2 linked regions of the Drosophila melanogaster genome follow. Changing the gene in region 1 together with any one later gene gives a genetic interaction. Each region holds a gene or a part of one and is shown in the gene's direction. Other genes may lie near its edges. The genes, in order: Mmp1 and Sema1a.

Region 1 (15,960 bases):
ACAAAGACACCAGTAGAAGGATTTCTTTTGAGATACCCAAAAGGAGTGGCCCCATCAATCAGTGCGGTTAATCAAACAATCACTCAGACTTCCTGCTCGATTTGAATTGCTCTTTTGTATCTAAAATCCTTAGTTTATTCGCCTGTGCGACAGCCATATCAAAATATTTAATTGCAATACAAAAGAAGACATCACCCTCACTTCTCCCCGCGAATCTCCTGGTGGGGAGTCGGTGAGGAGGTGGCCGTTTGAGGAAGAAGCCAAGAGGACGGCATTCCAGCACGTTTGATTGCGTATAAATCAAAATATAAGAACAATATAAAGCGAAATTTAGCATCACAGCGACCGAAGTCGAAGCAGAGTGAATCGAAATGAATCAGCCTGTTCTGCAGCCGAAAAATCGGTGGAAGGCGACTCAATAACCTATGCCACATTGGTGCCACGTGCACCAATGCTCGGAACTCTCAGGATCGGTCTGACATGACTCATCCGCTCAAGAAGCCGGGATTGATGCGTAACTATCCCGTTATCGAAACGAAACGAGGAAGCTCCCCTAGCACTGCGAAAGGGGTGCTGACAGGGAAGGACGCGGGCATCAAGCCGAGCTGAATGACTGGCGTTTCGGATCTCGGAACGGAACGCTATCGGATCGCCTTGCTCCCGGCCATATAAAAGAATCTAAGCGGAGCGTCCCGAGTCTCAGTCTAGCGCACTAGCGAGCCTCAAAAACGCACTCGAACTTGCAGTTACGGCAGCTTGCTGCGGAAGGCAAATCTCCATAAGATATAGTATAGCTAAGCAAATTAGCGAGTGTTAAACAAATTAGTTTGTGCTTCCGCTGCGTGAAAAGCTTTCCACCCAGAGTGAAAAACCCAATTTAGACTGAGAGCGAGAGAAAGCTGCGCCCTCAGGTGAATCATCAGTGGATCTAACAGCTAGCCAAAAGCTTGCTAACTTCTGGCTTACAGTGCGTTAACAGTGAAGGTGAGTCCTAGCCGAACGAGCTTTACCCCAGCCCCATGTTGCTCGCCAGAAATAAGTGCTGGTTTTTTAAAAATGCACGCAATATCAAATAGGGTTTCATTAAGGGAATGTTATATTATGTTAAATAATATCCAATCGATCGCCATGGGTAGTACACAGTCTGCTAGTCTGGCTAGTTAAAGCCAACAGAGAGCTAGTTCCTTCCTAATCCTGTTGCTCCACAATCACATGCAAGGGACGAAGGAACAGGGGGCGACCAGCTATTTTCAACCACCAGAACTAGGATTCCACCTATGGACGACTGTGTGTGTGAGCGGTGGTGTGTCGGTGGTTATTCGCGTGACTCGTAAACTAGAAGCGAACACGGACAGACCCAGGTCTTAGCCATTAGACCCGCACACACTCGCAAGCCCCATGGAAATACAAAAGTAGGGGTGGCGAAGACGACGACGCGAACATTATTTTGCTGAAGGCGGAATGGCAGAGAGCTGGAACTGAAACAGCAACAGAAAAGCCAAACGAGTAGCAATCGGAACCCGCTGTGAATCGGTCGCTATCGCTTCTCGCGGAACAAGTAGTCTTAGCTTGGAAACTGGGAGCTGTGCTAGCCCCCTGGACATGAGTGTAGAGTGTGGATAGTGCCCTGCCGTAGCCAAATTCGCCCAAGTGATAGTGACTATATAGTGACTTTGCCCGCCTTATCTAACCACCAAGATCTAATCGCCATCGGTCGCAGATAAGCCCGATAAGTTCGAAACAGCCCTGTGAAGAAACTAAAGAAAACAAAAGTCGCTTTGTGCAATATTTGCTGAAGGAGCACGGGCACCGAGCTGATTATTTCACAAATTGGTTTATGCAAATTCTGTTTGCTCAATTCGTCTGTCTGCCGTATGGTAAGTTGATATACCAGGATGACTCATGTCCGCCAGGGAATTCCACTTTCTCGACGGGCATCAATGGGCCAAGAGCGATCTTTGCTCGGACTTCGCATTTGACATTGCGGGCGGATCACAGAGGCTGCCCAAACAGTCGGCACATAGGAGCTTTGTAACATTCCGATACATGAATACATATAATTATAGGCACATCAGATACTTCATACATACTATCGATGCCTGACCGTGACGTGATTGAGTTTAGAAATAGTTTTTCGCACTCAAAGTCAGAGCCGCGCACTCTATTCAAATAATATACAATACTATATTCATATGCAATTAGCATTATCTGCTCCATCTGTATGACAATTATATGTTCTGCTCGGCCAGTTGGCACAGTTCAAAGGCAAAAGTCAATGCGAAATCGCTTGATTCGAAGCGGCGTGGAAAAGTTAATTTCACTGCCGGCGCAGGCAACCAACCTTAGTGCCAGCGCACTGCATCGCATCGGGATGGGGCATGGACTAAAAATACTATAAATAGTTGTCTTTAAAGGCAGTAGAAACTCATAAATATTTCATTGTGCCGATGGCAGAGGAGCAGGGCAAAATGCATCGCACAGCAGGCGGCGACGACAAGTCAACTTGTCCACTGCCATAACAGAGGAATACATTCGTGTATATATGGAAAGAGACCACGGAGCCCTGAGCCCAGAGACCAGATCCCAAGCCCATGGCCCATGGCCCACAGCCCAGAGCAGATGGGCAAGCAAAGAGGGGCTGACAGCAAGCCAGATGCACTTGGTCCATGGATAAATGGCAGCAACAGCATCCGATTTGTCTCACAGCCCCCGCTTTGTTCTGCCAAGTTCTGTTCTGTCGCGTTGGATGTGCCAGCTCCATAAAGCGCATCAGGAACTGTCGTGAAAGCAGAATGTCGCCCATTATGTGGCTGTCGGATTCGCTTTTCGTTCTCCAGCTACATCCCAGCTGAACCTTTGGCTTGGGCTTGGGCTGCTAGCCAATTGCTCAGGCCGATTACTGGATTTGTTTGCGCTAGGTGGCAATTTGATTCACGTGGCCGCTGAGTCACCCCAAATTGCACTCAATTGATATTAATGGGGTGGTGCCGACGTAGGGCGAATATATTATCGATTCGCAGAAGAAGATACCCAGATGAATAGCTTATTAGCACGGGTCCGCGAGAGATGAGGTGCTAATCAGGCTGCTGTAAAGGCGAATGTGTTAATCTACACGATTTATGAAGGCAAATAGGCGTAGATGCACCGTTATCAAGCACAGCTAGTAATAGGCACTTATCCTATCTTTTTACACTTCTATATTCTTATTTTCGGTGAAACATACACTTTCCGATTATCACTCATGAAATTACGCATTACTCATACGCCCATTGAGAAACCGTTTGACCAGGGGAATCCAGACCGCAGATTCATTCATAAAATCTTTTCGGTTAGCGGCGAGGTGTGGCAGATCGGAAGTTCACTCGAATTCGTATGTGAATTTCAAGAAACCAGATCCGCTGAGTTGTAAGCGTTTGCCTAAGGGAAGCGGGGAGAGTAATGTGCTAAGCTTCGGATAAGCTGTAAAGTGCCACCGAGGGCGAGTGTTTCGGTGGCCGCAGCGGTTGCTGTTTGCTGGACCAGCGGCGTATGACACATGTGCGGGTGATTCCAAGAAGCGCATTACTCATACGCCTCCTCTCCAGCGGAAAGGGGTGCGGGGCGCGGAAGGAACAACTTCGATTATTGGCAACAGGTTTCGGCTGTCCCCCGCTACGAAATCTCCATCTCCATCTCCACAAGCAAGCATCGCCAGCGCCTCTGTTAGTCGCAAAAGCTTTCGGCTTCCCTCTTCGAAAGCTCCACTCACGATCGCCAGTCGTCGTCGTGCGGCAGCGAGCTCTGAAGATCAGTTGAATTTTGCGCGCAGCCCAGGGCGGATGTGTTTAGCGGCGAGAAACCGAAAAAGTCACCACGATAGAATAAGAATCGCAGTTGGAGTCTAGTGCTATATAAATAGTCGCGAAGAAAGTTATTCGAAAAGTGAATGAGTTCAGTTTTGGGTTTTGGTTTTTTGGTTTTGAGTTTTGGTTTCTAACGCGGAAACGAGCGGGAAAATGGAAGTGCCAGCGAGCAATTAGTGCAGCCAGACATAAAGACACACTCACAGCTCGAAAATACAGCAAAACAAAAGGATTGCGACTGTGAATTATAAAGTATAAATTATAAGCAACGACAACACATCCACAGCGGAATACGCAGCGACGACAGCGACAACAAACAAGAGAAAGAAATGTATGTGCCGAGAGCTAATTAATTAATTAATTAATCGTAAGTGTTGCAAGCGACATGCAGCAACAAAGGCAGCAGCGATAGTTCATTGATCTGCAATTGCATCCCACTGGCAGCCCAGCTAATTGAAAGGTCAACCAGAAGCGGGTCCGAGCCCATTAATCAGACCTAACCCATTGAGCACTCCGCTTTGGAGGTGAACTTGAACAGCACTGCGGATTGGGCTGTTTCGACACTGCTTGCCCAACCCGGCGTGTGATATGTGGCTATCACTAAGGTCAAGTTCTAGTAACACTTGGCCACTCATGCCCGAACTATGCATTTGGTAGCTCCCAACATAACTCCCGCCGATCGCCACCATATCTTATCGCCCTCGGGCCGTACTCAACGGGTATAGACAGCTGATAAGGCTAACAATGCCAAAAAGACATATCAAGTGGAATTGGGTGTCGTTGGGCAACTTGGGGGTATTTTTCAACGCACGTCAACGGCGGAGCCGATCTTGGCGAAACTGGTTGGACTCCAAATTTATTTATTATTTTAATTCGTGATTAAATGGGCGCTGGCATCCAATGCCTGACTCACGCCTCTTCGCAGAAATCCCAACTTCGAGTTTCAACTCAGAGAAGGTGGCAAGGAGCCGGCGAACCGGTTTGCAGCTGGCCAAATCCACCTTATCGTCAGCGAGTAGAAGCCCTGCTTATGACCCAATTCTGAACATCGAGCACACACCCAGACGTGTGCTACATGTCGTATACGTAACCATTACGATAAACGAAACAGGGCAACTTTCGCTCTGAATGCAGTTTCGCCATCGATTGCTCTGGCCAAAGCACTTAAAACTCACTCGCTTTATTGATCTAACAGCGGGGAAATGCGTCCACCGTTATGACAACCCAGCGGATCCCCACTTTCCCCTTCAACCCATCAGGCGGGTTAACCACACGGCGCTAACCTTAAACTGTCAGCCCGGCGACCTTCAACCCGGCCGAAACATTTGCCCAAAGAGAAAATGGGAATTGTTTATGGTATTTGCTTAGCGAAATTATTGTAATCAGATAAAACCGGCGGGCCAATGGGGTGTGCGTACATTCAAAATAAATTCGCCTGTTCATTTGGCCGCTTGGCTGTTTGGCTGGATCTAGCGGCTAATTGCCTGGCATAAAACAGACTGCTAGCTGTGCCGCTCCGAAATCCCCAGCGATTAGTCAGCAACAACAAGAATGACAGGCTTAAGTGTTCAGTGTCCGCTCCAGATATATACATACATACGATATATCATGTATTTGCAACGGCGAGCGCTACACGGTGTGTATTTGATATGTCGCCGTCACTTTCGGCCACTTGCTGCTGCTATTGTCACTCGGATGCCGGACAGTAGTGGCATCGGTATCAGCATAGGTGCAAGATATAGTGGGGTAAACATCTCCATAGACATACGAGTCTCGCGCCCTAGGTCAACACCATCCATATCAGCAGAAATACGAACGACCGTGGAAAACTGCGCTATATTTAGCAAGCCAAATATCAGAATATCAACAAGAGGCCCACAGTCCTTTACGGTTATGGCCGACCTGGTATTTACTAGTCTAAAATTAAATTCTAATTGGAGTCTAAACTTACACGAGCTGTTTATGACGTCCGAGCTGTCCAGACACTAGACCACATGACTTACCACTACCATATGTACATATATCTCGACCGATCAAAACATCGCGCACAGGACAGCTGGTTCTCCGAGGGGCTCAACGAATGCGAGATGCTCTCGGGGATTAGGTAGACACAGATATGGTGGCGGCAAATATTTGGCTCTGATAAGGGGTATTCTTGGCCCGATGGCTTAATGGCTTAATGGCTTAATCGCTTGACAAGATGTGAGAGTGCACTTTTTGGTCCCATAACAGCAATTGTTTTTTGTTCGCCCTACGTGCATAATAAGGGGTTTGCCACACAAGTGTTGTGCTATTTCTTACTACTACTACGGACACTGTTTGCCTCAACTGAAAACGCCCGATTCTCGGCAACGCCGGCCACTTCCGATTGCCGTTCCACCTGCCACACAGAATGTGTGCCACATTCAACCTGTTGGAAAGTGGGATTGGGGTGGAGTGGAGTGGAGTGGATTGACTTCCGTTCGCCCTTTTGCACTTGTACTTGGCCTGCTCCCTTTCCATTCGCTCTGTTCCTGTTTGCTGCTGTTTTATTACTTGGCCGGCTTTATGAAATATTAATTGACCTTTTCCCCACCTTCACCCTTTCCCTTTGCAGTGATATAAAGTTCAAAGTGCCAGCGGCAAGTGGAACCACATGACAAATAGACGAGCCTCGGGAGCAACCCACTGCAAAACCACCAACAACTGCAATATTAGCAACAACAGCAACAACAGCAACAAAATGACAAACTGCCAAAGTTCAGTGTTCATAGTCGTAGGCACCCTGTTTTCCATCATGGCAGCGGCTCAATCGGCACCCGTTTCCACCACCACACAGGCAGAGGTAAGTTTATGCGCAAATAATTAAGTTATTACCAGAAACTACGTTCGTCGTAAATTGTTCCGACTAAATTGAATCTGACTTTTCCGTTCATCTATAATTTATATAAAAGCTTGTACTGCTGTGGTAAAAACAGGGGATAATGGCATCTGCTATTACGAAATTAAACAGGAACGAACTCAGAATGGAAATGAATCAGATTCGGAGACCGATTCCGAATCCGAATCGGTTTTTTGCACTTGCGGTGACGACAAATGCACGAGATAGCCGCTTTGTCTGCTCTGTCTGGTCGATTTATACTATATAGTCAGTCCATGAGGCTCCACTTCCGATTTGCATGACGGGCGTGCCAGGCGCTCAGAGCTCCGAGTGGCATGCATTGGGATGCATTTGGGAATTATACCCAATTTTCCGCCAGACAAAATGTTCCGTATTCACGAGTGTGTCTGTGCAACAGGCTAACGCGCATCGCAATCGCATGTCAACGGAATTTATTCCGCTCACACACTCGGCTTGGTTTTGGCCCGGCTCAGAGGTTCTGGCCTTAGCCTTAGTTGGACGGCTGGAAGTGCATGCCGCCGGCTAATTGCAGTTTGATTATCGCTATCGTTATCGCTCGTGACATTGGCCAGCGGAAAACGTGGCTGTCCACTAGGAAAACTCGCACGCCACTCACTCCCCAGCAAATCGATTTAAATGCACTCCCTGCGCCATTCATTTTCAAATGCTCAAAAATAAAAGTAAAGCGGCTTAAAACACCTCATATCCATAAAAGCGCTGATAAGCATAATAGATCTAGAAATTCCCTCATTACACCAGTAGATTCTAAGAACATATTAAAAACCCACAAAACACACAAACGCCATGATAACAATAGAAAGTGTGCGAAATAGGTGTTTTTATTTCTTATTAAAAATGTAATTGTTATTATAGACGTTTCAAATGACGTTTAATTTTAGAAATGATTCAAATGTGCCGTCTTGAGGGAAATTCCAAGTTAAAGCCCTCTTAACCTGTCATTCGATTCCGAATGGCGCACCTGAAATGCATTAAGAGACATCCACCAAAAAAAGTGATAACGAAACCTCATGAATTATTACTTTCGATTTATTGAATTATTCCTCCCCGCGGCAACTTGATTTCCACGCTTTCAATTTATAAATATTTATCTGCGGTTAATTGCTTGTCATGATCGCTGTTTAGCTGCTTCGCCGAATGTAATTTCCAATTACACATTCAACAATCCATGCGCTATCTACCATCTACCCGAAGCTAATCACGTTTACTTGCCACAGACTTGCATAAATTAATTGGGAAGACGCGGAGAAGCGGACCCAGAACTTCCTGATTACCCATTTACGATCGCCGCCTCCAGCAGGTGATGATATGGATACAGTATCCAGCCAGTCGATTCGCTTCCAATCGCTGGTACTATACTATATACCATCACGCCACGCATTAGCGCGTGCTTAACATTGATTCTAGGTTTATTTATGTTTTACGTAATCCCCGACTTCTAATTGGTATGTTGGGCGCGTTGGCCATAACTTGGCTCGTTGTCGCTGGCCAGTCGCCCCAAAAGCAGCTAAGGCGACGGTGTTACGTGTTTGTCTCTCCAATGTCAGGTTCTTTGTTCTCAGATCCCTCCCGAAGCCGCTGCCGATGCCGATGCCAAATGCTTTCCCATAAATCTCCCGGAGAATGCAAATCGTGCAGACCACCGCCGGAGCAAGGAGGCAATCGTGATTCTGCCCCCATCAGATATCACTTTCTCAATCCGATCGAAGCAGGAAAACTATCTGCTCTATCTATTTCCCAGTGAGTCATGCGCTGCGAAGCCAGTGGCGAGCATAATGGAGCTGTCAAGAGGTTAATTACTCGGCCAATGAGCGAAACTCAAATTCACTGGGGCGCATTCGTCATCGCGGTGGGGCGCACAAAGGAAAAAACAGAGAGACCCGTAGAACTTTCCTGCTCTAAATATAGCTAATCAAGTCCGGTAATTCGCCAAGTAGTTTGCACTTTTCCACCAGCTCCCCGCTTTCGTGGCCAAAAGCAATCGATAGAGTGAATTGTTTGCCGTTCGTATCCGAGTTTGATTGATTTGCCTATGAAATAGTTGCGTGCGACCTTCGCGAGGTGCCAAATGCACAGGCGAGCAAACAAAAGGCTGCTTCAGCCTTGCAGAGAGGCACTTGACAAACAACTGACACTTTTTGCTGCTTTGAGCCAACATCCTTTCTCCTTTTCAGACTTCCCCAAGGTCACTCATAGCTTAGCATTTCACGCGTCTCGCCATAAACAACCCGGTAACCGCCTAAAAAGGCTTCGGAATGGCAGCGGCAATAAAATCCTTTTTTGCCTGACTTTGCATGAATAGCGCTTTTTATTGTCCGGTTATCTTAGCATCTTGACGCTTATTTATCGCTGTTTGAAATTAGCCACTTGGGGCAAACGGGGCTGCAAGAAGGAAGACACCTTCTGGAAATGTCAAACACTTTGTGGGAGTTTCCCTGCTATGCAGCCTGAACTAAGAACCGAGTTTTAAACTTTAATTTTTCCACACAAGCTGCTTGCTATTACTCGCTCCATAGCCCAATTTGTATGGCAAAACCAGCTGGAAGTTCTTTCAATTAATTCCCTCTGAATTAAATTGAAATCGTTATACAACTTTAAGCCGCATTTCAGGCTGCCGTTGGCCCAGTTTCTGTTTTGGTTTCCCCGGTCTGGTTTGCGTTCGTTATAGTTTTGAGTTTTCTTTTCAATCTGCACAATCTCCCCAATCGACTCGTTATGGAAACCCAAAAGAAATGCCGCCAAATGAGGCGCCTGCGCTTCGATTTGCAACTGAGGTGCGAGGGGTGGTGATGTAATCGCCGCGCTAAAACATTTAAGCCAGTTAAGCCTGTTTACTAGTTGGCATCGAGATTGGACAACTCAATTGCACACGCTTACGGTGGGAAAATCGCAGGGAAACACAGGGAAAAGGTCCGCCATTTGCCTTTAATTGTCGCAGACACTTTCGCTTATGTGCCACGTGCCACGCAAATATGTGTGCAACTAGGTCTAGGTTTGTTTGCACGCAGCTTGCCTAGGGAAATGGAGAAATGGAATCCCTTCTACCTATGACCCCCGTGTGACGGACGAAAGTCAACGACCTGGCTGACCCACATACCGCATTCCTTCCCAGGTAAACTAACCACGCACCCCCGAAAAACGTTGAACGAATGCCCCAGAGTTTTCATTCGCCTGCTTTTCCCGTTGGCAATAATTTTCCCATCAATTTCCATCGGGCACGTTGCCGATGTATACGAGAATTGTACACAAAACGATACTCGTTTTTATTTATGCATGTCCTGTTCTTGTTTCTACCGGAAATAAACGAGGTGGAGCAGCACGCCTCCAATTGAAATGGGTGAAAGTTCAATGACTCGGCGATGGGGCTGCCCCTGCAATGCCATTTCCCCTGCAAAATCAAATCAACTTGGCAACTTTGCACCTGTGCAAATTGTGTTAAATATTTGAAGGTTGCACTGCGATTGTAGCATACTTTCCTGGGCTCACACACACCCCTGCAGCTCTTGGCCAAGTCGAGCTCTACAGTTCGCAATCGCTCACAAAACCCCGTGGGCCACGTCCTGCAAGTTCAACTCCTTCGACTAAGTAAACCAGGCAAGCAGGTCAGCCAACTGAATAGATACCTCCCCCCACAAACTGGTAGTTTCTGGGTGGCAGTACACATACAGAAATGTATAAATATTTACTGGGTATAGTAAGTTGCAAATTGTTGGGGTAACTCCATTCCACCTCGCTTTCAGCTAAAGCGAATATGTTTTAGCCCATGTACAGATCAAACCATATACAGAGTACTTTCAGTTAGTTTTACAGTGAACTACCTAAAGTTCTGGGTCGTGGCAAAAGCCATTCTGTGTTGACATTATTGTTCGGCTGTCCGCCAAACAGCAGAGCGCAAAAAAGTGTGTCAATGTACAATAATAAATTGAAGTGCAATTTCAACGCCCTCCGAATCGTGACCCGACTGCAGAGGCCCTCACCCCTGGAGCGCGTATTATTTCCAATGATTTGCATCTGTCCGATCCAATCCCGCCGAGAATCGGTAATCACATGCAAATGCATGTGTATCCAAATCGCCGTGGATGCACTCAAATCATGGCCATTGGCCACCGAGCAGCTGAATGGAAAGCCTAGAGCGATGAGTCCCGAAAAACGTAAGCCGTGTTAAATGGGTGCCCCAGCATTTCCGGTCTAGCCCCGACTTCCGTTCGCCTTGTGACGCATTGCCTTCTGAATGAAAAATGCGTCAGAAATGACTCAATTGCGGACAGGTTGAGTGTTCTTTTGTTTGCTGCCAATGGGGGTTATCTTATCGATGGAAGATAACCGAAAGAGTCGTGTTTGCGTCGCCGAACAATGCATTCGATTGCTGTCAGTCTGTTTGTTCTATAACAAAAGCTGCATTACAAGCCCCACAGTTACCCAAGCATACTGGCATAGCACCTTCTCGGTAATCGAAGATGTTCGTGCCCGCCAAATGGGAGTAATTATGTTAATTGCACAAAGAGGCATTGCTAAGATCGCAGATGAGTCGTTACAATCGCTCTGAATCTGAATGGGAATCTGGACTTGGAGTGGATCTGCATCTGTCCGGAGATGAGTGACAGATACTCTCCACTCGAACCGTGCTTTGTTTACAGTTCGTTTACCTTTCGAGGAACGGACCGGACCCAGCTGATCGGTGGCGAAGAGTAAAGACTGGTAGCCAACCCACCCAGAAAAAGATCACAGAGCCACTGGCAGCAGACGCGACTCGAATACTCAAGATTCCAGCGAAATGTTTACTTCCTCGCAGGCGGAAAGAACACAATAAAATTAACAGTCAGCTGGCATTATGCAAGATTCGGCAAATCATTATACAACATGTACTATATACTATATATATATATGTATGTGAGCGGCGGCATTAAGTCATTAAGAATGTGCGACACATAAACGGCCGGGGAACCTGATGCCCATGCCAAGTCGAAAATCGTATTATCGCATTGCCGAAACGTTAAGCGCATAAAACAAGCGGTTGTAAGACAGTTTGCCGTTGTAATTGGCCAGAAAGCAAATTCCATGTAGCTAGATAGTTAGATAGTTAGTGAACACTTAACTGTTGAGATAACCTCGCATTGTTCTCCGATCGCAGTGCACTTCCCTGATGCGCAAACTGTTTTCATTCGATTTCTCAATGTTACAATTTACAATTTACAATTAGCCAGTGATCGCTTCCTTAAAGCTGCCGATGCTTGATGATCGATTAAGCGTTTTCACACCTTTCCCAGTCACGTCGCATTCGCAGGTTATCTGTATGGATATGGGTACATGCATATGAAGCATACGACATGGTGCCCCTTTCCCCGCTGGTTTATTTATAAAAAGTGGAAGCCAGTGAGGCGGTCGTAAATTATGCAAGTCAGATGGAAAGGAAAGGCGACAGAGTAGCCAGGACTAATCTGATTGTCATAAATCAAGTTGGCCGCGACGGGTGGCCATCGGTCGCAGCCCATTGATCTTCGCCAGCTGTCCCTAAGCCTTCCTTCCTCCCTCCTTCCAGATCTACCTGTCCCAGTTCGGCTATCTACCCGCCTCTGCCCGCAATCCCGCCAGCAGTGGGCTACACGACCAGCGGACCTGGGTGAGTGCCATCGAGGAGTTCCAAAGCTTCGCGGGACTGAACATCACCGGCGAGCTGGATGCGGAGACAATGAAGCTGATGTCCCTGCCCCGCTGCGGAGTTCGGGATCGCGTCGGCACCGGTGACAGCCGCTCCAAGCGGTACGCCCTGCAGGGCAGTCGCTGGCGTGTGAAGAACCTCACCTACAAGATCTCCAAGTACCCCAAGCGGCTGAAGCGAGTCGATGTCGACGCGGAGATCGGTCGCGCATTTGCCGTGTGGTCCGAGGACACCGACCTGACCTTCACCAGGAAGACCTCCGGCCCCGTGCACATCGAGATCAAGTGAGTACCACAAAAGCCTTTATTAAATACAATTGCCAATCTTCCTCTCCTTCCTTTCCCTTACTCCCAGGTTCGTGGAGAGCGAGCATGGAGACGGCGATGCCTTTGACGGTCAAGGCGGCACCCTGGCGCATGCCTTCTTCCCTGTCTTTGGCGGAGATGCCCACTTTGACGACGCGGAACTGTGGACCATTGGCTCTCCTCGAGGCACCAATCTGTTCCAGGTGGCCGCTCACGAGTTCGGTCACTCCTTGGGACTCTCCCACTCAGATCAGAGCTCCGCTCTGATGGCGCCCTTCTATCGCGGCTTTGAACCCGTCTTCAAGTTGGACGAGGACGACAAGGCGGCCATCCAGTCACTGTATGGGCGCAAAACAAACCAGCTGAGGCCTACCAACGTGTACCCGGCCACCACCCAGCGGCCATACTCTCCTCCAAAGGTGCCACTAGACGACTCCATCTGCAAGGACTCCAAGGTAGACACACTCTTCAACTCGGCGCAGGGCGAGACCTACGCCTTCAAGGGCGACAAGTACTACAAGCTGACCACGGACTCCGTGGAGGAGGGCTACCCACAGCTCATCTCCAAGGGCTGGCCGGGATTGCCGGGCAACATCGATGCGGCGTTCACCTACAAGAACGGCAAGACGTACTTCTTCAAGGGTACTCAGTACTGGCGCTACCAGGGCCGTCAGATGGACGGCGTCTACCCTAAGGAAATCAGCGAGGGCTTCACGGGCATTCCCGACCATCTGGACGCCGCAATGGTTTGGGGGGGCAATGGCAAGATATACTTCTTCAAGGGCAGCAAGTTCTGGCGCTTCGATCCGGCCAAGAGGCCGCCGGTCAAGGCTAGCTATCCCAAGCCCATCTCCAACTGGGAGGGTGTTCCCAACAACCTGGACGCAGCGCTGAAGTACACCAATGGCTACACGTACTTCTTCAAGGGCGACAAGTACTACAGATTCCATGACGCCCGATTTGCTGTAAGTACTGCTAGCTGGGGATCTCAGCAATACCTAAAACAATACCTTATTCTTTTGGACTCCCGCAGGTTGACTCGGCCACGCCCCCCTTCCCCAGACCCACCGCCCACTGGTGGTTCGGCTGCAAGAACACGCCCTCGTCCACAGGTAATATCGTCGAAGGCTCGGACAACGAGTTCGAACAGCACTCCATGATCCCGCATGCCGACGATGGCAACGGTGATGACTTTGACGCAGGTGAGTGGGACCGACTCAGCGGTAGTTTTGTTTGAGCTCGAATCGATCTACTGGATCCACGAATATCGAATCCCGAACTCTGAAAGTCAAAAAGATCTCATAGAAAGAAGTCTTGTATGAGTTGTTACTTAGCGAGAAGCAGTTACAAGTAATGAAATGATAATATTAATAAATCCTATCTTTATGGTATGTTTAATTAAGTTAATGTCTATGTAGTGAAATTCTAGTACTCAAGTCGAATGTGTTTGTCTTTGTTGCCTATGGAAGAAATACATTTATAATACCTATTGAAAAACTAATTACCAAACTGTGTGTGTCAAATGTCTTTTGCCAGTCTATATATATATATATATATGTATATACATATATAGCGTGTGCCTTATACAAATATTGTAAAATTTTACCTTCTCCTAGTCTTGATTTTGTGGTGTTTTATTTTAGTTTTGTTTCAGTGCTTTCATGCTGAGTTTTATTTGGTGAAAGTACTTTTCTATAGAGTAAGCCTCTAAGCTTAATTTTAATGAAACCAATGTTGTAATTACTTTTCTAAACTAGCTGTACTAATCATCTAACTAAACTTTGTAACTAACCCAACTTTGCTAATTTCATCTTCAACTAACAATGTGTTCTTTCCATTAACTTAACTAACCCATCCTTGGTAACGCTTTTGGTACTTTTAGTTTTTTGATTCTATTAAACTAACCAACTCAATTTAGCATACCATGTACAAAGATACTTAAAAGAAAAAAATGAATATAAAAACACAAATAATATAATACCTTGCTTACAGTTTAGTAGCCAAAAGAATATATTAGCAATTATCAGCCGCAACGACAACAACAACAACCAAAACTACTGGTCAGTCGGTCTCACTAACTGAGGTCCCAGATCAACTCCACCGGAAACCATGTTCCTAGCCTATAAGTCACGATCGTTGCATGCGCTGTTCCTAACCGCCTAACCAAATCCAATATAGCATCTGCAATAGTTACTAACTGGCTAATCCCAAGAGCAAGCAACACTATCTGTTAAACACCACAAATTCCGAAAATGGAAACCCCCAAAAAGAACACCCCACCCTATGGTCTAAGCTCCGTAGTTCCGTAGCACTAAGTATATATCTAGATATGGTACTGTTAATATTTGATCTTCCACTCCCCGAACTAAACTCTATACCCTGTAGTCGAAATCGCAGAACCTCGAACCATGTTTATGCGTAACCGTTTCCTTGTTTTGGCACCCTCGGCACAAAATTCCAAATGGCTAGCGGCTGGGTTGAGCCGCACCTAAAACCACCCACTCACTCTCCAACCACCCACTCTACCCACACCACCCAACACACACTCACATATCCGAACTCCACACGCCCACCCAAGTAATTGCATGAACAACTGAAATTGTACTAACATGGAGCAAACAAAAGATTCCCACCTGCATGGCACGGAAAGTCGGAGGGTATTGTAAGAATGCTGGATATATGGGCTCTCTAAGTGATATGTGATCCACTCCCGTTATGACCCAATCTCACTTAACACTCGCATGCACGTGCCTGGCCCATAATCGTCTAATTTGCATTCAACAAGAGCCGAACAATCCAAATGTATTCGTATTCGTCATTGTCATCTGTCTGTATGTACGTATGTATATTTCTTGCAGGCTTTAAGAGACGCGGATACAAAAACAAGAACAATTAACCACAGCACACATCCAGAAAGCACAACAGCAACAACAACAGCCGAACAAAACGAACATCGACTCCATAACAACCCACACCACCACCACATCCACATCCACATACATAAGACTCATGGCGCAGAAGAATCACAAAGCGAATGAGCCGCCATAGCACATGGCATTCGGTCTTCTGGCTGCTTGCTACTGTCTTTCTTCTCCTTTCCCGCCTCTTCTCCCGTACATATATCTTGTGTGTGTAGTTGTAGTGCGGCAATGCTGATTCTTCCTGCTCACACGTAGTATCATCCTGTTTTAGACTGCTAGACCCCATCGCATCGCACATCCCGTCCTCCCAGAATGCAACCTTGATATTGCTTTA
Region 2 (16,289 bases), on another chromosome or scaffold:
AAAAAATTATAAATTAAATATTTCTTTACATGATATTATTTAACAAATATTTAAACGAATCGAGACATATTAAAAAAATAGCCGGGAATTGGTTATGGTTTTACAAGGTAAACGTGTCGTATGAGCAATATTTTGGTGCAACGACGCTATTGAACTACGCTTCAATTCAAATAAATAAATTCGTTTTTCTAAAAACATAAAACAAAATATTTGAGTGTTTTGTTAAAAAATATTTTAATATATTCATAAGAACATATTGTTATTTTAAAATACGGTTTCGAAAATCAAAAACCAATTTCTTGAAATTCAGTAGCGTGTTTCCCTCAGTGTAGAGTGGAGAGCGGGTGGAGAGCGCCATCAGAGCGCGATTTGGGGCCACTTCATGTGCCGATAAAAGCTGTCTTCACACGCTCACCGCTCGCCACTGAAAAAAAATTTCTGGAACGAGTCACACGCACCGCACGTTCCTCCGCAGAAAGGCAATAAAAACAATAACAACATAACTCGTCCTCGTCGAACAAATCCGAATTTAATTTATTATTCCCAAACAGAAATCATAAATTAATCAAAGCATTGTTACAACACAACAACGATTTTCGGACTCGGATTCTCTTCATTTTTTATTCGAGCGGAGAGTAAATAAAGTCAAGAAAACAAGAGGAAGAGGAAGAGCGGTAGGGAGCCAACAACAAAATGTGCCGCTGCTGTCAAAAGTGAGTAAACGCTACGAATTTCCCCCTACCCCACCACGCTTGACAACTTGCTCCGCATTCGAGCCAACAATTCACCTGGCTAACACACATTCCGAATTGCCTTTTCTTTATCCATTTCCATTTGTAGCTGCTGGGAAGATTTCTACTGGAATTGCTTCGAGGAGCGTTTCTGCTACGACGAATCCATCGGTAAGTTTTTGAGCTTTTTTGATTTGGGCAGTTGACGGATACGGATACTCTGGTTACGGTTACCTGAAAATGAGTACGAGTACGAGTACTTCGGCTACTGCCACTCAAATACTCACTCTCTTCGCACGCCTCACACACACACACATACAAGAAACTAATAAGATCTTGAAACGCACAATGCTACGGCGATTTTTGCGCGATTTAACGTGTTTGGCATTTGAAATCGAGTACGAGTCGTAAAAGGAAAAAATAAAACACAAGCTGATAAATCAGTTTTATGGCACTTTTGCCAAACTTGCATATAGAGTATCTTAAAAAGTTGCGCTTAAGTAAGCTGCGACAAGTTTTGTTTACATAAATGCTTGCATGTATAGAAAGGCAAAATAGTTTTATTATTTTATATAAAAAAATGAATAATAATAAGTACTTAAAAGAATTTAACGATAGAATATTCCAGAGGTAGAGTTGGGCTTATAGCTTAGATCAAATTCGTTTCTGTAGAAGACTCACATTTTGTTTGAAAATGAAATTCAAGGAGAGAAGACTCGGAAGTTTCTGGAATAAATTTGTTTATAAGATTACGGTTTTTTCATTTACTAATTTCTGCTCTTTCTTTGCCTCTCAGCCAACTACAATCCCGAGGAGGACGAGGACTACTTGGCGTCCAGGAAAAATGGCCAGATCATTGGACGCATACAACCGACATCGGTGGATAATAATAATTCGCTGACGGTGCCCCAACCGATTTGCGATCAGCCGCAAATGAGGCAGGGCAACTCGAGCTTGGGCCTGAGCCTAATGAGGTACTAATAGATAGATCAAATCCCAATCCAGAGATCGCATTTCGCACTTTGTTTGGTTGGCTGGCGATTAGCGATTAATTGGCATGCTCGTGTTGGCTTACTGTTGGCCATATCAATTGACATTATAACCAATATCTGTTTTCTTTGTGGCCCTTTTAGCGCCAAGATCCACGAGGAGGACTATCGTCGGGAGACACAGATCAATGTGCCCAACCTGGGACCGGAGATACTGGCGGTTTTTGCCAATTCGCAAATCTTCCAGGACCATCAGCCCACCAAGCTGAACCGGATCAGCACCAAGACCTATCTGGCCGGAATCCATTCGCCGAATCGCGAAATGCCGACAACTCCGCGGCTCAGCGATCAGGATCGATTGCTGCGACGTCTGGAAGGTAATGATGGCCCCAGTGGTGCACACACCCCACTTTTGGGTGGTGCTGCTAATGGTAAAAGCAGCGGCAAGAGCACCCGCAGCAGCAGCATCGTATCCAGCGGTGTGCCCAAGGTCAAGTTCTATCTGAACTGAACATCGATGGGTTTTGGGGTTCAATGGGTACTAGCAGTATTTGTGCCAAAGATTGAGGAACTCTCGCAATGCGGATATAATCAATTGGAGAGTGACCAATATCGCCAAAATGTGACTTAATATTATTAACTAATTAGCTGTAAGTGTTGCTACACAATATTCGATAGAGACAGCAATGCCAGTGCGACTGGCATTTAGTATTATCTATACTCCTAAGTAGCCTAATTTAAGTTAGCTTAAACGTTTACCATTTAAGTCTTAATTGTTGGACCTTGTAATTGTTTAGTCCTAAGCGACAAAGAGCAAACAGTATGATTTTCATAAAGTTTTTAAACAAAATTTTCGCTTGGTTTTCACTTTTACGCTCCACATATTTTATATATATTTAGGTGCTATTTAAATTGACTGACTACTGACTTCATCTTTACGTAAAAGTTCTGATTAATACAACATCGTCGTGCCTTTAAATCGCGCCTACCATCATTTTAGCAAATTGTTTTGTGCACTTTGAACAATTGCTTTGTTTGTCAAGTTGGCATTACTCAACAGCTTTTACTAATTGCATGGGACTGGGATCGCTTAGTCAAACATATTCACATTCTAAGCGTTCAGTTTTTCGATAGATTTCTCAGAAGTGGTTGAAATGATTTCACTGAGAATCTACGAAAATCAAATAAAGTCTTGGCTTATTAAAAAGGGAATCTAAAAAATGCATAAGCAATATATGAACAAATTTCGAAGACGATATGAAAAGCAAATTTCACATTTGCTCAAACAATTATTACAAATTTTTGCAATCCAAATTTTTCCGCAGGCTTGACTCACAATCCATTAACCCCATTTGGCTTAAAAAAAAAAGAAATTCATTCATTCGAAGTTCGAACCTCCAAACGAGGAAGAGCGGAAAAGAACAAATCTGGATCCGAGTCCAAATTTAATTAACAATTTTATTTCTCAATGACGCAGACAGCACCTTAAGGTACTGGTTTCATCTGGAGTTATATATAAAAAAAAGAAACATATTTTGCGGCACGTCACACATTTGTTATCACAATTGGAAGCAGAGATAAAACCATTGGCAATTGGAGATGATTTAATGGGCTATTAGGCCTGCGCCACTGATTTATCGCAATATTCGCAAATGGTTAATCACAGCGACCGACTTATGCCACCAAGCCCATTCCATCAGCAAAACGAACCAAACGTAATTAGTCAAATATTCGATTTTCTTATCGAGACCATATAAAAGAGTGTTAACAGCAAATAAACACCCATGCAATATGAATATTTCTGCCCATTTATGTATTTTGTCAAAAATACACGTATAGGTAATTTTTTTTATAGATAAGAAACTCGAGCTGGTAATCAGTTTTTGCATGCTAACAATCGATTCCTCCTTAGCTGATAAAAATAAAGAAATCGTCAAATTTGTAGAACTTTAGAGCTGTCATTTCATTCTATAGAACACATTTAAAAACTCCAAGCAAAAATGATAACATATAGATATCATCTTCACTTGTTTTAGGTTAATTGAAAAATAATCAATACATCAGTATATCTATAGAAAATAAATTCCGTCTTCATATTATGCATGTTAAATATACAATTATATATTGATCTTTTCAATTAAAAATATTTAAACAGCAGGTGTTGTATGTATCGATATTTAACAAATCGCGTTTAATTGATTGTATGTTCGAATAATCTCAGGTTTCATTTCGAAATAAAACGAAACAATAACAGCGATCAGTAAACAATAAATAGCCCAGTTTCAGTTGTCAATTAAGTTTTATGCACGGTACTATTTTCATTTTTATTTATACTTGTAAATTATATTGTTATACATACGTGTGTATGAGATATCTTAATTACATTCACGTAGTCATCACGTTCTCTTGCTAATGTCGGATGACTTTTCCGATTCGCCAGTCAATGGCTCCTATACAGTTTATAGCTGTTTTGTTTTAAGTATTTCCACATCTACATCATATTATTTCGTCAGAACCCTATACCTTATACCTTATAAAGCTGACGTTTATTGTCGGGGGTCTTGACGATACTTAAATCATACGTCATATTGTATTGTTTAACACATTTTGCTTTCTCAAAACAAAATCTAAGTAGTTACCGATTAAGAATTATTAGGCAGTAAATTAAATGATTTCATAAGTATCTATACATATTTTTACATAACAGAATTAGTATAATCTTTAACTGCAGCTAAATTTTATCCTACTTTTAAGTTTCATTTCACAAATAAACTATCAAAGCGACTTTACTAAGTATGTACATATTTGAAAATGACTTGCCTTGAAAGCGCAATGTTGTTATCCAAATAAAGAAACAAAATTTTATTGCAATTATATACTAAAATATTGACTGAATCAGAATGAATACTATAAAAAATAATACTGATAAGGTACGACTCATTTGATGCTTAAATGCATCTTACCCAATTGCTTGGGTATTTGTTGTCAAATGAAATTAAATTTATAAATCTTAAGAGTACAGAAATATTAAGTCAAAAGAAGGCAAGACTAATAATCTATTAAATTTACTATAAAACTTAACTAGTAAGTTCCGCCTCTAAAATTTCCATTTTAGCCAAAGTCGAGGGCTAGTTATTATCTGCACATATCTTTCCTATCTGCCATGAACTCAACCGTTATCTTGTTTGCCAACCTTTTATGCGTCTTACAATGGCATCTACTTTTCCAACTCTTCCAAAGATAATATTGTCCTCTCTGGCAGCTGGCTAATTAGGGTACAATGAAATCAGGACAATATCTCTAAATAATATGGGTTTAGTTACTTGCAAATGCAGAACACTTTTTAAACGGAGTATATCTTCTTTTTGCAGGAGATGCCACTGATGCGAGAACAGGATCGACCGAGAAGCGAATCACCTTCACCCTGGCTCCCAGTTCGGCCGAATGCTCGCCGTCGGGTAGCCAAACGACACTTACTCCCAAAAAGTTCGAGGCCATTGCCGAGGAGGAGAAGGAGGACGACAAGGCCGATGAGGAGGAGGAGATCATGGAGGAGGTGGTGCTGCGACCTCGCCTCATCGACCGGCATCCTCATCTGCTGGCCAACCCCAGTGGACTGACGACCACGCCCAAACGGATCCTGCGATCCGCCAAGAGCGTTCCGCACATGAATGTCCGTTCGTCGGCCAGTGAGACGGATATATTCTCCATTAGCGGTACGATGACCGGAAGCAGTCAGATCAGCATGACGCCGGAGGTGCCATCGATATCGTTCAGTAATCTGCCTAAGAACTACGAGGACACGCCCACTATTGAGAAGTACCGGGTATCGCAGAGTCTCTATTCCATTCAAACGGCGAATGCTGCTCGGGCCACACAGGATGATTACTCCATGCCGCGCTACTTCCGTCGATCTGCCATGCTATTGACCCAGAGCTCTGAGGTGCTGCCCGGCGCCAGTTCACTGGCCTCCATGTCGCCATCGATGGCCTCGTCCTCTGCCTCGCCCGGGTCCTCCAAGGACGAACTGCGACGGCCAGAGAAGGAGAAGAGCAAACGACTCCAGATGCTGCGTGGCAATCTACCGCCCTTACTTATTCATTCCGTGTCCTTCAAACGAAATCGCGACGAGGGCAAGCAGGTTGACTAGTCGCACTGCAGATATACATATTTATTTGTTAATCACTTTGTCCATGTTTTTAATGTTTTAAATTTATTAGCCTTTAGTACCTGCTTATGCGTTTTCTGTATTATCTTCTAAGCAATGACCTTGTCCAAACAATTCCTCAGTATTCAGATGTACTTCATTTTGAATTAATGATTGATATTACAAAATAAATTGTATTTTACCACAAAAAACAGCGATTAAAGATCCTACTTAATAAATCTTTATAAAAATCTAAACGATATCTATTTGTACCATTTTAAAAGAAATAAATGCGAGCTTGAAAAAAAATGCACTTATCTCCCCGACGGGGAATTGAACCCCGGTCTCCCGCGTGACAGGCGGGGATACTAACCACTATACTATCGAGGATGTTATACAAAGTGAGTCAAACTCGGGTTTTCCGTTTGCGGAGTGTGAATGCTTGTTTCAATTTCATCTGTTCCCCATTTGTACTCTGAAGACAGTGTGCAAGCTCGAGACGGTTGTTTGACAGTGGGTAGACAACATCCTCGATAGTATAGTGGTTAGTATCCCCGCCTGTCACGCGGGAGACCGGGGTTCAATTCCCCGTCGGGGAGAGATGTAAAAATTACTTTTTGTTGATTGTTTTAATTTATTAATTTAATTTTTTAATTTTTTAATTTCAAAATTTAAGTAATGCAATACATGTTTCAGACCAACAAATTAAAATAAAAAATTGCACCATATAGCTTAAAAAAACGTCAAACATGTATATTTAATTAGGTCATCCTGGAAGTGATATATAATGAAACACATTTCAACGGGTATATAAGTTTTGTTAAGGGGTAACTGTAAGCCGGACCCATTTAGCTTACCACCCAATATGGTAGCACTGGCTGTAGAAATTCCCAATGGCAACGCTAGTCGACCAGTTTTCATTCGTATTGGCGTGTGTGTTGTTTGTACAACAAAACATTCTAGTTGTTTTATTTGCAAGGTGCTCATATAAAAACATAAACAATATATTTCGTAGAGTGCCCTAATAATTTATTAAGTTGTGAATTAAACAAATATGAATAAGAAGCGTGTCCAAGTGAATTGGTTAAATTGTAAATTATAAATAAAGCAATACATATAAACGGCCGGCAAAACAGAGAGCGCGTTTTAAGAGAGAACCTAATAGGAAAAGAGTGTAGAGCTGCCAGGTTTCAATTAGGTACCAGGTACCAAACGTATTTATTATTCGAGAAGAACTATTTTTGGTGACTAAATATGGTTTCTGATTATAGAAGTGTTCTCCTAATATATAATTTTTAAAAATTTTTTTCTACACGTGCCCTCAGATTGTTGATATTCAAAATTCGTACACAAACGCCCTTGACAGGCGCAGTCTCACCCGCGCCCACTGAGAGCGGAACGACGGAAATTTCAAACATTATTTCTATTTTCTATTTGAATTGAAACTATGTATTTTCCATAATTTTCAAAATATTCTTGATTTTTTTTGAATAACTAAATTAATTATTTTAAGTATCGCGAGGGAGAATAAGAGTTTAAAGCGGCCGATTATATTGAGGGGGAGTTTCAGTCAACGAAAAGGAAATAGTGAGAGGAGAGGGCTTATTGAAGAGAGCCTCTCATTTTAAAATTTCTCTTTAAGCGTGTTCCTTCTAAAGGACACAAGAAACTAATATGTTTATGAAATAAGAAACTTAACCGTGTATGTGTTTTCCAATTTTGCGTGAACAAATAAAAGAGCTCAAGCATTTTATCGTTTGAGTAATTTTAGATAAAAATTTATTAATATTTTTTAATGTTTTCAATTTGCCATAGACAACATTTTTTCCAATAAAATTCGGTAATATAAATAACATGGTGTTATGGCCTGCAATTTTTATATAAATTTTTAGTAGCACGCTCTTAGTTTAATATTTAGGTCAATAAAATAATTATCCTTATTGTTTTTTTTTTTAATTTGCATATTGTTTGTTGACCAGCTGTTAAGAGAAGAGAGGAGAGAGAAAAAGAGAACCGAAAAAGTGACCGTTCGCGACTTCGCAGTCAGCGCTGGAAAACGCACTAACGCGCGGAAAATGCCCTAGCGCCAGAGAAAGTGCCATTTGAGACTGAACTCTCTTTCGTGCGAGTTCCCTTTTCATTCGAAAATTTAACGCCCGCGCTGCTGCAGCGCGTTGTTGCTCCGGTTGGAAAATATCTGAAAACAGCATTAATAAATAAACAAAAATATTGGATAAATCGCCGGTAGAAACGCTGCATAAAACGAAATTTGGTTTCTTGTAAAATATTATTTTTCAAGATATTTTCTTGTTAATTTCCGGATATTCGACAAGGATATAAATGTTTCTTTCGCGTTGATAAACAAATTCCAGCACCGCTACCTTTGTGTCGCGCAATTGTGAAAAGTGATTTGTCCATTGTGTACATTAATTAATAAATTGGTAATTGCTCAATTTAGAAACATGTGCAATCGAGAGCTAGTGTGAGTGTTTGTGTGCAACAATAATAAAGCCGAAAATTGCCCAATTGCAATTGGCAATCACAACAAAATTGGAATATTATGGCACATTAGAAAAAGAAAATAACGAAAACTGTGTTTCCACCCAAAGTTTAGGCCGCAGCAGAGCGAATCCACAAAAATATACAATTTCGGCAATTTTTCCACATATTTTTCATTGATTTTTCGCCATCCTGCGGGTGTGAGCAAGAGGGCGAGAGAGTTGAAAGGAGAGCCAGGCTTTTGTATTCTGTTTTGGGTACGTTTTGGGAATGAAACGGTCCTGGCTCTCGCTAACCCACCCTCCCTCTCTCTTTGGGATTATCCTTTTTATATTTTGTTTATTTCTCTATTTTCCTGGCCACGTTTTGTGCACCATTCGTTTCGCTGCATTTCATTCTCGCGGCGTTTCAAATTGACTCAGAGAGAGTGAGAGTAAGAGTGGGAGAGAGCAGCACTCTCTTATTCTTCTTCCTCAAACTCACGCACCCCCCGCATAATGTTTTTCGACTCTGCCTTGTGCCCCCCATTCGCATCTCTCCGCAGCGCGTTGCCAACCAAAAAAAGAAAACTAAAGTACTGTTGTCATAATAAGAAATTTATCAGGAAAAAAGTTGAATTACAAAGTGTTTCAATTGATATTTCTTGATCATTTCTTCATCAAATCGTGTTTCATATCGTAGCAAATATTAATTTTAATTCAAAAAGCCCTACATGCCAGATATTTGTGTTCAAGATAAGCTCTTCCTGCGGCCATAACTTTTGATTGGGAAACTGAAATCTAATCCAGTTTTCCTTCTCCCATTTCCACAGTATTTAAGCCAGAAACAAAGTGAATAAGGCAAATTTGAATAAAGAAAAAGAATAAACCAAGAAAATATGCTCAGAAATCGCATCCGTAGCCTACTTATCGCATGAAGAACCGGTACCGTTAAGGGATAATCGCCGTCGCGTTAATTCGACTCCTGCACCGCACCGCCCCGCCCCCCCGTTCGTCGTTTCGTCTATTCATATATCCGATATAACCGTTATCGCGCCCGTGCATCTGCGTCTGCATCTGTGTGCGTGAGTCCTTGTATCCTCTGTACATATGTACAATATTTGTCGTCGTCGTCGTCGTGCATCGTTGTTGTTGTTCTTGCTGTTATCCTATTATTCATCGTCGTCCGCTGGCATTAATCTGCGTATAAAGTAAATATAACAAATTTGTGTTCTTCGGTGTTGTCTCGTGTAAGTGTCTATAATTTGTTTAAGTACGACAAGCGATCGGTGCGAATCAAAAAATTCCAATTCACCAGTCTGTGTGTGCGAATCGATAATCGAGCTATCAGAACAACCACAACAACAACAACAGCCCAATCAATCGATCAATGTCAGCAAACAAACGATAAACAGGACTCGCTGGGACTAATCAATTGCGTAATCTTCAGAATATTTTGGATTCCAACGTCTACGGAGTTTCAACTTTTGAACAATTCATTTTGCTGGACAGTTTTTGGAAAGGTACGTTTAGAAATAAATATCTTATTAAATATAGTAAGAGCAATCCAAGTGTCGCATTTTTATAAACATAGTCATTTGGATTAAGATTAATCGCAGGAAATGGTGGAGTTAATTTTCTGGAAAATCAGAACGTATTTTATGCCAGATACATTGGGATGTTCGAAAATGCATTAACACTGGGTCTTGTTGCCTTCAGCTCCCAAAATTGTTGTTTTTTTTCAAGGGTTAAGTGGATGCACATCGGTCGTGCCGGGAAATATCTATATTTAGCGCACGTATTGTCCTTTGGCCACGTTCTAGGATAAGGAAGGACATACCTTGGTAGGGTCAGCAAAAGTCGTTCTCGATATTTGCGTACGCCACACACACGACTGCTTGAGTGCGAAGGGTGTGGGCATTGGACGAGACTCATTAGGACAAACCGAAAATGGTTGAAATGCACTTTTGCAGACAGATACGGAATATACCCTCGGACACACAGCAGGAGATATCGGAGCTCAGACAGAGATACAAAACGGAGCGATTTCCATTTGAAATGTAAACAAAGCACGCTGATACCCCGGCACAGTGGAGCAGATGATTGGACGGTCGGGAAAACAAAGGCGAACCAAACACTTAAGATACGGCTACAGTGGGAACCACAGAAAAGGGACACCGACAACAAGTGATTTGGAAATGTTGATAAAAATGTGGTAGCTATTAAGTAAAAACATAAAGATGCCAGTTTGAACAATTTCTTTGCCAAGTTCTTAGGTTGCATTTGAATAACTAAAACTTTATTTATTTTAATACCCAAAAGAGGGGTTTTTAAATTGGTTATCAGATCTTTTTATTTGTTTTGATAAATTTAAACTGGTACACTTCATATGAAGTATTTTTTATGTGCTCAATCCCTTAAGCGCCTACTCATTGACACGCAAGCTGAAAAAATTGAATATTCCACTCGGGAATCTGATTTAGTTCTGCTTCACCCGCATTTATGTCTGCATTACTTAACCGATTTCACAGCTGTAATCTGTTTCTTTTCCTATCTGTGATTGCCTCTTTTTTACTCTCGTTTTGTGATACATTTTCGATTCGAGAAATGGTCTTCGTCATCGCTTTTGATAGCTTTAATCTTTTAATCGCTTGCATATTTAGGAATTTAACAGAGAGCCATCTACGTTAATCCGCTGAGATTAGCCTAATGGGATGTTGTATTTCCCCTGAATCTTTCATTTTTGTAAATGGTCATTTCTTGAAATGTTATTCCAAGTTCTTATGGTAATTTGATTCCCCCTCTCATGGTAAACGACATAAATGTATCTGATAAGAATTGAAATACAATTGATGATCTTCTTCAAATTCTCTGAATTTCTCTTATTAAATTTTAATCAATTATCTTTTTTATTAATAAACTATATTTGCTTCCCATTGTGCAAAGACGGGTGAGCTTAGACTGTGGTTTAGATGACTGTGGACTTCTGGCTTTCAACCTCCTTTGCCACTCTGCGGCCCATTTCACATTCTCCTAGCCAAGTATCTAATCTATGTATCTAAGTATAACCAAAGAAGCCCGTATGTTTTGTATTATGTTACACAAATATTTAAGCTGCCTTAAGTAGATACAACGAAACGCGTTCAAGATACACATATGTGTAGAAAGAAAGAGCCAAGGAAAAGCGCAACAACAACAGTGCCGCGGATAGAAAAGTTACATTTCAGTTAAATGTGCGGGTGCTGAGCGCAGTGGGTGGTGGAAATCCTCCATCTACCCACCAAACAAGACTAGAAAAGCCAAAGTCGTGCAGTAAGTTATCACATCCGAAGAAATTGAATGAGCAGACTAGCATATAGATGGATTAACAGGCAAATTCAAACGGAGTTGGCCAGCAAAAGTGCTGGGAAAATAGCCAGAATATCGAGATACTTATTAATTTTGCTGGCGGAGATGAAAATAAATAAATTTATAAAAATTAAATACTCTAGTTTTGCAAACTGTAACATTACTATATGATTATCACAAATTAAGCTTTATATGTTTCTTATTAAAGTACTAGTGATTTTATTTTATAAAAATTAACATCACTGACTGAACTCGGTTTCTTTCCGACTGGCTAACTGGTTCGCATTTGTGTGTTTTGGTAGCACTTGGACTGTTTTTCTTCTTTTGCAATGTTTGCTATTTGTAGTTGTCTACCGATACAATTTTTCCTCGTTTTGTTATCCATTGATACGCATATCGTTTGCCATTTGCTATTTGCCATTCGCCATTTGGCCCCCAACTCCAAAGCGATTCAATTCAATTTCTACGATTTCATCTCGACCAGACTGCAAGTTGGCAATAGGAGCAAAAAGTGTAGCGTCGCAACCATGAGATGCTTTTTCTAGACATTCCAAAACAACAATGGTGCCCATGCTTATGCTAATAAATTTCAATAAAATCATGAATTATTTTACGGCCTAAATCTTGTTGGTACCCCAATGCATTTGTATCTGTACCTAGTGGTGTTTTTCCCATTTTGTTGCCACTGTAATCTGACTAATACGCAGTGCAGCTAGAGCTGCTTTTACCAGAAATTATAGCCAACAACACAGAGAGGAATAAATAAGGAAAAAAAAAAAAAACTGAATTCGTTTCGTTTTTCCAGATCCGCGCTGTGGGCGTTTTGTACTAATCAAGATACACGAGTCTAAAATGTTATTTTAACTCTTTTTCTCCCCCCCCCATGCCCTATTTTCCACTCGTATCTTCTATTTTTTCCAATTTGGCTAGAATCATGATTTACCTTCTATTGGCAAGGAAAAAGCTTAAAGTTTTTATTTAACTCTGCCATTGGATTGCTGTCATTATTTATCGACATGATTTAATTATGAAAAAACAAGAATGTTAGATTACATTACAAAGAAAATAATTTACTCACATTAATTACAAAACCAATCAATATCGGGACAATATCAATGCTTGTTATTTACCAAACGAAGGAAAATCGGTAAAGAATTTCGTCGTTTATTTGATTATAATCATTTTTCTTTGTCAGGCCTGCAAAAATGAAATGTGAGTAACAAAATAGTCGAAGAATTTTTGGGCAAATAAGAAAGCAAAGTAAACACTTCTAAATAAAGGACAGAGAAAAACAAATAACGCAGCCAAGGTAGGAAAATATTCCTTGGCGTGTTGACCAAATTAAGACCGCAAGTGGCTGGCTGGCTGACTGGCCAAAATGATTGATTTAATGACGGTATCATTGACACTCAATTCGAGCTCTGCTATCTCGGCCACACCTACCATGGATTTGGGAAAAATCGGCAGATGGCAGGGACAAATGGATTTCGCTTAATTAAATCGAAAAAAAAAGAAAACAAAAAATTTGATCTATTGATTTTTGCCGCAAAAAAAAAAAAAATCAACATAAAAGTCATGTTTATTGATAACAAATTGTATAATTTTTGTAAGTTTCACTTGATATAAATGTTATCTAAACGAACATGAATGGCAACTTATGTGTTCTTAAATTACAAACCACTTTTAATACTGTGCCCGCATACAAAATCGTTGGGCGCACAAATTGGATTTTGTTAAGGAGTACAATAAAATCGCAATTAAAATGACCACTTAATCTAAAATCACTTGCACAATAAAAACCATGAATATATAATTAATTTATTAATTAAAATATTATTAAAGCTTTTGCTTTAAAGAGCTTCTCCCTTGGCCCTAATCCCGCCCTTCTCCCCTTTCCTTTAAAACTTTTCAATGGCCATTCGCGTGTGTAAAGTTATTTGCAAAAAAAAAGTAAACAACAAAAGCGGCTATAGTTCTTTTTATGGCACACTTTTTAATGAACCTATTGAATTATATCAGTGCGCTACCGTTCAAAAATTGTTTAATAGCATTCTTTGTTTATGACTTTATGGCAAACATTTTTGCTGTTGAATATTACAAGAAAAAAAAGGGCCCAGTTTGATAGCAACTAATTTCATAATTGCTGCTTGCACCAAACACTATCTACTCTATTTTATTTTTAATAAAAAGCATTAGATATATGCACTTGTTTTCTAGTAAATCAGAAACAAATGGTGAAATTGCTGGTACAAAATTCTATCAAATATTTATGTCCATTGAATTGCTAATTAAGCTGAATAACTCTCACAATACTAAATTAAATTGACAAATTACCTCGGTGTGCAAAAAAAAGTTGAAAATTCACACTGAAAACCACATCAAGTCGAAAATTTGTTTACGGGCTTGGTTAATTTTATTTTCCTTAATTTTCCTGATGTGATTAAATATTTATTTACTTTTTACAAAGATTGCACGATAAACGGAAAATTCTGTGCTGTTATATTATTGTATCAATTGTTAACAAATTAATATTTATATTATTTTTATTTGCTTGAATCATGCTTTTTAACATGTCTAACAATTTTGATTAAGGTGCAAAAAGTGTTATTACTCTGATTACTATTTACTTTTGATTTCACAAACTACAGGCAGATATAAAAAAATATATATGCCAGAGTTTTTTTTTATTTTTATTTGAACGTTCATGGAATGTTTAACGTGAACAATTTAGTTATTATCATGAAAATAACAAACACGTATAAATTTTGCATGGGCAGAAAAACGGTAATGGTTAAAAAAAAAAAAATAGTTTCGAGTGAAAAGCAGTTAATAATTTGAATGGCTGATGTGGGTGGCGTTGGGTGAACCTGGGAAAACTTCGATAAAAAGGCTCAAAATAAATAAACGCAAGTGCACAAACACCAGCAGACATACAGAAATTCGCGATAAAACCATAAAAACCAGAGAACACAAATTTCCAGCAATTAAAAATTCAATGTTTGCCATTTTTTCCTGTACATACAACATGCATAGAGATACATGTATATATAGGTATAAATATATATGCCTATTTTTTGGGATTTCTTCTACATTTGCATACAATTTTCATGGCATTTGTTTTATATTCGGTTATTATTTTTAGTCCGCGATTTTCCCTCCGCTTTATTGATATTATAAATTATGGTTAGCGCGAATTATGAAAAATCCTTATACCCATTTTTGAAACATTTTTCGCTCGGTTTATGCGCAGTTGAATTTTATTTTTACGATGATACTAGCGGACATCCTGCAGTTTATGCTGTTTTTAATCTCAGCTCAAAACTCAAATATGAAAGTATTAATTTTGTTGTTAGGCGGTTGCATTTGACTGGAAGGGAATGCATTTTATAAGCATAGCCTTATTTAAACGTAAACCTTCTTTAACTATATATAACTATAAATGTATACAAGTTTTATAACCTAAACCGCAAAAAATAAATATGAAACCAGAATGTGGTACGTGAAATTAAAAATGTCTTTCAAGTCGAAAATAATGAAATGTTCAAATGAGCAGTACAAATATGATGTAGAGCTCTTAACGAACGGAAAACGAGAGGACGAAGGACTCATTCGCCATTTGGCACAAGCATCATTAACAACAAACCTTTTACCAAAAAAAAAAAAAGGGGTCTAACCCTCTAAAATAATATATTTTGGTAATGCATACGCGCATTTGCATTCGAAATGGAGAATCAACCCCCGAAAAAAGGAAAGTCTGGTTTTGGGTTCACTCCGGTTAAAGTGCACTCAACGCCGAAAGTTGCGACAGCTGCAAATTGAACTTTTTGCCATCGTTGCATGGAATTCTTATTCAACAAATTTGTTTTTTCTGTTTAGCCCGAGGCAACGCCACCGCATTTAACCCATGAGCGTCCGTGGCGCTTAGTAATTTGAGCGTAATTGGGTTAAGGCTGAAGAGAAAAGCGCCAAGATGGAAAATTGTGTGCATAATAGAATGTGGAGAAGGGGTGGCAAGGAAGTTCGGCTTCATTTGGTCTATTTCATCTCAATTAAAATTGAAATTCAAATTTAAATTGAAAATGTAAATTCCAGTCTCTGTGCCGAGCGGCTAGCTAGCTATCCTTTTGGCCATCTAGCTGGTCCAAGGCAAGGACCTGTGGTAGTTTTCGTCCTTCGCTCATCCAAAGGGAAGCGCAATTTGTTGAGCAAAAGTTATAAAATTAACACTTAAATGCTTCCAGATGTTGGTGCTTACACTCTCCTGGCTGAGTGTGTGTGGCCTGAATGGGCTGATGGATCTGGTTGTGACACATGTTGTGCCAATGTACGAACCATTAGGGTTACCAAATGTTGCCTAGGCGAAATCTAATAACAATAAATTGAGCTCGGCCAATTTGGCAGGCGAGCCAACACGTGTGTTAAGTTCTTAACAGTTTCCTTCTATTTAATCGAAGATTTGTAATTTGATATGCCAATCAAAGTTGTGTCCAATGTGTAGATATCACAACTGTATTTGATTGATTTAATAATTAACAGACTTGTTGAACTGTCGAAACCATAATAAATGTATTATAAATTTTAAAATATTTGTTTCTTA

Evidence for each region.
Region 2: of Mmp1 (region 1) and Sema1a, changing one suppresses a phenotype caused by changing the other (phenotypic suppression), as found in Drosophila melanogaster (one study listed by BioGRID).

The regions. Positions count from the first base shown.
Region 1 is NT_033778.4:24,672,920-24,688,879, reverse strand, and holds the start of Mmp1 (matrix metalloproteinase 1), read left to right. Parts: upstream 1-1,502; 5' UTR 1,503-1,877; intron 1,878-3,789; exon of another isoform or gene 3,790-4,173; intron 4,174-6,438; 5' UTR 6,439-6,564; coding exon 6,565-6,666; intron 6,667-12,280; coding exon 12,281-12,684; intron 12,685-12,754; coding exon 12,755-13,670; intron 13,671-13,738; coding exon 13,739-13,907; coding exon of another isoform or gene 13,908-13,942; exon of another isoform or gene 13,943-14,204; intron 14,205-15,563; coding exon of another isoform or gene 15,564-15,601; exon of another isoform or gene 15,602-15,960.
Region 2 is NT_033779.5:8,535,367-8,551,655, forward strand, and holds the start of Sema1a (semaphorin 1a), read left to right. Parts: upstream 1-6,780; 5' UTR 6,781-6,846; intron 6,847-7,846; exon of another isoform or gene 7,847-8,349; intron 8,350-9,177; 5' UTR 9,178-9,867; intron 9,868-16,289. Other genes in the region: CG17834 (uncharacterized protein), read left to right, coding at 694-713, 841-902, 1,528-1,705, 1,865-2,097, 5,092-5,870. UniProt on the Drosophila melanogaster protein: Involved in growth cone guidance through its role in axonal repulsion. Function in neurons is essential for adult survival, motor neuron survival, and is important for climbing behavior and activity.